Macaca mulatta: one gene and its partner. The protein of the gene in region 1 interacts with the protein of each later gene in a biochemical or structural test. Links are inferred from orthologs where the notes say so. Each region holds a gene or a part of one and is shown in the gene's direction. Other genes may lie near its edges.

Region 1 (3,816 bases):
GAATTAACAGAAATGCCACATACTGAAGGAATTTCGTTGTAGGTTTTTAATGCATTATTCCCTTTGCCTACCTGCCCACCACCACCCCCTGCAATCTGTTTTCCAGCTGTAGTTCCTAGTTTTCTGAGACTGATTTCTTTCTTTCTACTAGATTTTGATTCGGCTCAGCAAACTCTGTGTTCAGGAGAGTGCCTCGGTGAGAAAGAGCAGGAAGCAGCAGCAGCGTCTGCTCCGGAACATGGGTGCACACGCCGTGGTGCTGGAGCTGCTGCAGATTCCCTATGAGAAGGTGAGTGGGGCCTCACGCTCAGCAGCTGCTCCCAGGATGGGGCGGATTCCTGGGTTTCCCCAAACCCTTCACATCTGGATATTGTTGGTGAAGAAATGCATCCAGTGTGACTATTGTGACTACAAAGCAATTTCAGATATTGATATGAAACAGAGCATCTGAAAAATAAAGTACAGTCACCCGTGAATAATCCTCATCCCCAGTTTTAAGATTCTGTAAAGAAAGAGAGTCCATTTATTCTCCATACTCCCAAGCCGCATTGGATACAGACATCTTGGTCTGTGTCAGAGCTTAGACCTCTGTCTACCCACGGGTTGGTGTGTTTCAATTTCATTTGCAATGTGACTCAAGCAATTTAAGTAACACCAGCTATTAAGTGCATGTGGGAACAGGGGATGTGCCCACTTTTGAGGTCCTCACTAAGATGCTGACATCTGCTTAAGTATTTGGATTTATCAGGTGATGCTTTGATGTAGGTCTTTTCTGTTGTTGGAAGTTGTACTTTGCCTCTAATTTTTCACATAAGTATTTGTCATTGATCTGTATTTGATTTACAGAGGCAGGAGCAGGCTGACAGTGCTTTGAGTGAATGTAGGCTGACAAGACGCTTATGAAGTCATTTGTTGAAGCCTACAAGACCCACTGGGGTATTTGTGTGGTGCCCACTTGACAGATGAAGAGACTGAGGCTTTGGGGGGTGTTTAGAGGTAATGGGCTCAGACTCAGGTCTCTTGAGTTGACTATTAACTGCTAGAGAGACTCATTTGCTAGAGAAGAGTCACCTGATGAAGGCTCATTTCTAGGTGCTTGCAGGGTGCCAGGCGCTATGCGGAGGCCTTTATACACATTATTAGCTCTTGCCATCCTCAAGACACATGGATGAGATGAGTGGTGCTATCTTCAGCCCCATTTTCGATGAGAAAGCTGCAGCTGGAGAGGTTCAGTAACTTGCATGGATGGCACAGCTATGTACAGTGAAGCTGACTCCACTTCACTGTGGAGCTGGGACCTGCTGCCTTCCCTGTGCCTGTCGCTTTCCACCCTAGGAAATTTCTTGCAAAAGGAACTTCCTCCTCAGTCATGGGGACCATATGAATTGGGCAGGTCAGGCCTTTCAATAGCTACGAATACAGTCCAAGCGTAATCCCTGTCATAGGTATAATAACATAGCTAATTTGCAGTTGATACAGGTGTGCATATCATCCAAACTTTGCCTATCATTTAGACCAGAACCAACAAGCTGATCTACCTCCTCTTGTGTAAGGAATGCGAGGGGATCATTTACTGACCATAGTGTTGTCTCATAATATCATCAGTTTCCCTAATGAGAGTCATGCCTTCATAGAGCGGGATTAATCTACAGGTAACCAGATGTGGTTGGAATTGGTGACTCAAAGGCAGAATATCGTGTGTGTGTGTGTGTGTGTATATGTGTGTGTGCACATGCACGCTTTTATTTACTTTTGGATGGGCACGGACTTCCAAAGAATGGTGGAGGAATCCTCCACAGGTAACCTCTTGTGACTTGATGTCTTTGGGGCTTGCTTACCTTGGAAAAATCCACTTCACACCACAAAGGTTCTTCACTTAGCTTGTGCACAGCAGATTCCTTTTATACAGGAGGACTGGAGGCATGTGGAACTGTTTAAGGTTACTGCTGTCAACCAGCAGTGGCTGTCTATCCCAAGCCCTCTGATTTCTTAGAGCTAGAAGGTTCACCACTCCTCCTGTTAATAAGGGAAAAATGTAATCCCCATTATGTTGTCCTGGGACTTGCTATTAATGTCCTTTTAAATTTTCCTCTGTTTTGGTTTGATTATCAAAGCTGGGAGCTCACCTTTCTCCCTTAGCTCTGTTTTATCACAGAATTATTTTTCTAGACCAGGGGTTAGCAAACTATAGGCATGGGCCAAATCTAATCCACCACCTGTTTTGAACAGCATGTCAGCTAAGAATGGTTATTACATTTTAAAATAGTCACATAGGTACCTATATAATGTCCTTGATATTCCCTCTGTACCCACAAAGCCCAAAGTATGTGCTGCCTTGCCCTTTAAGAAGAAGTTTGCTGACCTCAGTCTAGCCCGGAACCAGTAGCTAACATTTACAGAGTAATCACTGTCTAAGCACTTCATGTGACTTTTCTCATTTAATCTTCATAGCAATCGTATGAAGTGTGCACTTTTGTTATCTCCTTTTCATGGATGAGTAAACAGCGACACTGAGAGGCTAAGAAATGTGCTCCAGGTCATACAGCCAGGAAGTTGGAGATCTGGGATAAGAGGAACGTAGTCAGGTTTGGGGACCTGCATTCCTACCTGCTATCCTCTCTTGCCTCTGAAATGAGGTGATGGCTCTGAAGACTTAGGAAGACTATTGTGGGCTGTAAAAATATGAAGGATGATTTCCATTTTAGAAATTCTTGTTCTGTTTTTACTTTCTTAAATGTTTGCTTGTTTAGAATTGGACACAATGGTCATGGGTTTTATAGAATTGGCTTATTATAGAATATTTAACTCTACAAATACTGAGTTTATGCTATTAATGTATGAATCAGATAATCCAACCTGTGAAATGCCAGGGAGGGTATTATCCCCATTTTGCAGATGGGGAAACTAAGTCTGAGGTTAAAAATTGTACTTGATAAAGGAGTTATGGCAGGCACAGTTGTTCTAATGTATAATCTAAGGAGATTTCCAGTTCGCCATGTAAGCTGATAGCAAAAGTTAATGTCTAATAGGTTGGACAACTTAAAAAGGTGAACCCAAGAGGGAAAATGACTACTCAGCATCAGTGAGGAAGTCAGCCCCTGTTCTGTTGTCAGTCCCTGTTTTTGTTTATTTTTAAAATTTTTATTATTTTTATTTTTTATTAGAGATGGGGGTCTCACTATGTTGGCCAGGCTGTTCTCAAACTCCTGCCCTCTAGTGATCCATCCAAAGGGGTAGGATTACAGGTATGAGCCACTGTGCCCAGCCACTCCCTGTCTTTAGAAGTAGGGGGTTCAGAAGTTTCAGTCCTTGCTGGATGATGGACTTGTGGATGCCTTCTATTAGCCTTCACTCTGCAGTGCTCCCTCCCACCCAAATAAGATCTTCACTTTCATCATTGAGCATAGACAAGTTTTTGGCTTCTTTTCAGGGTCAGCAGTGCAGCCCCTCAATATTTACCCACAACAGGCCCCCAGCAAACACCTTCTGACTCCCACGTTAGCAGGAGGTGTTGGGTATAGGAGAAGCTGGTCTCCTGGCCCAGCAATCAGTGCTTTCATCTCTCTCCTCCCACACAGGCCGAAGATACCAAGATGCAAGAGATAATGAGGCTGGCTCATGAATTTTTGCAGAATTTCTGTGCAGGCAACCAGCAGAATCAAGCTTTGCTACATAAACACATAAACCTGTTTCTCAACCCAGGGGTAAGACTTGAGGCCAGTCTGCAAATCTGTAGAGGGAGGAGGGCAGGGAAGAGGGAGGAGGAACAGCTTGTTCTTTGGCTATTGTGGCTTCTGGGGCTTGTTATAATGCAAC
Region 2 (3,816 bases), on another chromosome or scaffold:
AAGGGGCTGCGATGGAGTCAGCAATGCCTGTTCCTCCTGAGTCCTGCAGAACTGGGCCCTGGAGAAGTGGGAGGCTGCTTAAAGCCCGATGCGTGGGGTCCTCGGGGGTGTGCTCTGCACGTATGTGTACACACGTGCTTACTCGCTCACTTTCACTGACTGCTGGGATGACCCGTTGCACAAAACATCCTTTTTGGATGGTTTTTCCAACACATATGGGTTTGTGTTGGAATGACTGCGACCTACCCTTGAGCCAGGCACCATGACCAGCTTTTTTGTTTGTTTGTTTTTGAGACAGAGTCTGACTCTCTGGCCCAGGCTGAAGTTCAGTGGTACAATCTTGGCTCACTGCAATCTCCGCCTCCCAGGCTCAAGTGATTCTCCTGCCTCAGCCTCCCGAGTAGCTGGGACAACAGGCATGCACCACCATGCTTGGCTAACTAAAACAGGTGTTTTTTTTTTTGTAGAGATGAGGTCTCACTATATCGCCCAGGCTGGTCTCGAACTCCTGGTTTCAAGTGATCCTCTTGCCTTGGCCTCCCAAAGTGCTAGGATTACAGGCGTGGGCCACCGTGCCTGGCCCATGGCGAACTTTATAGGCGAACGTCCATGCAGTCATCTCAGAGACACGCCTCCCTTCGGGTGACTCCTACCCCCGGCCTGGCGGAGCTGGGAGCTTGCAGTCTGCTCCCTCCAAGGTCACACACACTCTCAACGCTGTCCTGCCACACAGAGCCACCTCTGAGCTCTTGGTCCTATGCACCTGGTTGTCCCATGAGATGTGACTCAGCAGCCCTTCCCTTTCTAGATGATCTGCAGATTTTCTGGTGTTGTCTTTTGTCCTGGGGCCAGTTTGGAGTGACTGTCTCCACCCACCCTGGCCCCGTTGGCTGGAACGTCCTGCATGCACAGTGGAGGTGCCACACGCTCACTATGGCATGCCCGCATGTCTGTGTTCACGAGAGGTATGCCCACAGCTGTGCGAGCCTCTTCAGGATGGGCACACCTGCCTGGTGTTCTCCCTGCCCAAAGGCAGAGAGCTGCAACACGGGGGAGGCTGGACGCTGAAGGCCACTTTTAGAGTGTACTAACCAGGTCCAACTGGGCACCTGTACCCATTTCATGCCCGTCTGTCTCCCTCCTGGGCAGGCCTGGGACAACTGGCACCTCACCAACCTGAGCTTCCTCCAGGCCTGCTCCTCGGAGGTGTCTCTGCCATCTGTTCTGACGCCTGGATTCGGGGTTGCCTTGATTGCCCAGGAGACCTGGGCACTACTTGAGGTTGGAGACATGTGCTTTTTGGACCCTGGCTGCAGCCAGAAGCACTGGTGGCCCCTGGGGTCCTATATGGTGTCCTGTGACAGGGCAACGTATAGGGATGGGGCTCAAATTGGAGAAGGTGGGGCAGTGCCTGGGAAGCAGGCACAGCCCCATTCTGCTGCCACGTCTCCTCCTGATTCCTCCCTGTCCTCCTACCCCCACTTCAGGATGGCCCGGCCTTCTCTCCCCTCCGGCGCCTCATCTGTTGTCTTGCAGCCTCTGTCGCCCTGCTCTTCCTGTTTCGTTGGGTGGTGCTCTCTTCTCCCTGTTGTGGCCTCCCTGGACCCTGTTTTATTTGCAGGTTTTTGCCACTAGACCAACTCTGTTCCCTGACTCATTTTTTTTTTTTTTTTTTTTTGGAGACAGGGTCTCACTCTGTTGCCCAGGGTGACAGAGTGCCATGGTACCATCACAGCTCACTACAGCCTCAAACTCCTGCTCATCCATTCTTGTATCTGGAACAAGGGGCTGGAGGCACAGAGGTTCTGTGCCCAGGCTGGTGGGGCTGGTGGCTCCTTGGGAATCTCTTGTTAGCGGTCCAGGAGCTTCCATGTCTAAGCAAGATGTGGGGTTTTCTTTTCCCCTCAAGGATCCGATCCAGGCACACTTCTGCTGCATCCTCGTCACCTCCTACCCAGTGCCTGCTGCCAGTTGGATGGCCCCCAGGTTAGATATTTTGTGACTTCCAGGTCCCTTGTCGCGGCTAATAGGACATGTTCTTTTGTTTCAGGATAGATCACTGCGACCAGAGGAAATCGAAGGTAAAACTTGGCCCCTTGGGGGAAAGGACTGCCTAACCCTCCATGAAGGTGTGGGAAGGGAGGTTGATGGGAAGAGAGGCCCCTGGGAACGGGCTATCTTCTGTGAAACCAGCTGCTGAAGGTGTGCACAGAAGGCAAGAGAAATACCCCAGCATCCTGGGAAGCTCCTGGGCCCCTCTTTCCACGCTGGTGGGCCTTTGGGCTGCCTTTGCCCACAGAGGATCTGCAGGTCCTACCCCCAATGACATCCACCTTTGCTCACTTCCCCAGAGCTCCGAGAGGCCTTCAGAGAATTCGACAAGGACAAGGATGGCTACATCAACTGCCGGGACCTGGGCAACTGCATGCGCACCATGGGCTACATGCCCACTGAGATGGAGCTCATCGAACTGTCCCAGCAGATCAACATGAACCGTGAGTCCCTCTACCAGGCACCTGTGTCCCTTCCGGTCCTCACCCTTGCTGTCCTCTGCAGTCAGACAGGACTGGCTTCAAATTCTGCATCCACCTCTTTCCAGCTCTGTGATCTGGGGCCAACGACTTACCCTCTCTGAGCCTCAGTTTCCTCACCTGTAAAATGAGGGCCGAATTGGAGGAGTGGAGCCCAGAAAGTAGATTAGGGAATATCTGTAAAACAGCCCAGTAACTGGCTCACAGGAAGAACTGAACAGAGGGCTCCTGTTATTATTAAGTTTTTCTCTGTCTGATGAGCAGTTCAAGGAGGGGTTGCCCATTCTGTCAGTTGTCTACTTGGAGACAGGGAATGGGTATTATCGGGGATGACCTAGCCCTTTCCTCTTTTTCCAGTGGGTGGCCACGTAGATTTTGATGACTTCGTGGAGCTAATGGGGCCTAAACTCCTGGCAGAGACAGCAGATATGATTGGTGTAAAGGAACTGCGAGATGCTTTCCGAGAGGTAACGGGCAGAGGCAGGCAGGCATGGGGGCAGCTATTGGAATCTTATCTGCAGGATAAATACTTCAAAAGAAGCCTGAGCCCCAAGTCCCAGATCAGGGGAGGGAGCTTGGGCAGAGAAAGGTCTCTGGTAAAGGGGGAAATGACACTGGAGAAGGAGCTCAACTTTGGGACCTGATGCTGCCAATCGCCATGTTGGGGCGACCTCTCCTTCCTTCCTGCCTTCTCTAGTTTGACACCAATGGTGATGGGGAAATAAGCACCAGTGAGTTGCGAGAGGCTATGAGGAAGCTCCTGGGCCATCAGGTGGGACACCGAGACATAGAGGAAATTATCCGAGATGTGGACCTCAATGGGGATGGACGAGTGGACTTTGAAGGTAGGTGGGGCTTGAAAGTGGGAGAGAAGCAAGCCAGCAGTGGCCATCTGTGGAGCCCTCCGATTGTGTATCCATCATGTAACCTATCAATACACTCTAACTTTCCAACCCCCAGCCCTTTCATCCTCCTATCCCTCCACCCACGCCCCGCTCTAATCCACCTCCCATTCCTTCCCCATGCATCTCTTCATGCATCTATCCATCCATCCTCTATCCATCCTCTACCTTTCCATTCATCTGTCCATTTATCCATCCATTCATCTACCTATCTATCCATCTGTCCATCATCCATCCATCCATTTATCTACCCATCTATCCATCCATCCATCCTCCACTTATCCATCCATCTGTCCATTTATCCATCCATCCATTCATCTACCTATCTATCTGTCCATCATCCATCCATCCATTTATCCATTCATCCATCCATTCATCCATCC

What was found.
Region 2: the proteins of ITPR1 (region 1) and CABP1 form a complex in vitro, tested with the Homo sapiens proteins (2 studies listed by BioGRID). The link is inferred for Macaca mulatta from reciprocal best matches to the Homo sapiens genes ITPR1 and CABP1.

Annotation. Positions count from the first base shown.
Region 1 is NC_133407.1:143,427,672-143,431,487, forward strand, and holds part of ITPR1 (inositol 1,4,5-trisphosphate-gated calcium channel ITPR1), read left to right. Parts: intron 1-151; coding exon 152-289; intron 290-3,578; coding exon 3,579-3,704; intron 3,705-3,816. UniProt on the Homo sapiens protein: Inositol 1,4,5-trisphosphate-gated calcium channel that, upon inositol 1,4,5-trisphosphate binding, mediates calcium release from the endoplasmic reticulum (ER).
Region 2 is NC_133416.1:127,982,245-127,986,060, forward strand, and holds part of CABP1 (calcium-binding protein 1), read left to right. Parts: intron 1-2,050; coding exon 2,051-2,081; intron 2,082-2,351; coding exon 2,352-2,495; intron 2,496-2,888; coding exon 2,889-2,998; intron 2,999-3,228; coding exon 3,229-3,376; intron 3,377-3,816. UniProt on the Homo sapiens protein: Modulates calcium-dependent activity of inositol 1,4,5-triphosphate receptors (ITPRs). Inhibits agonist-induced intracellular calcium signaling.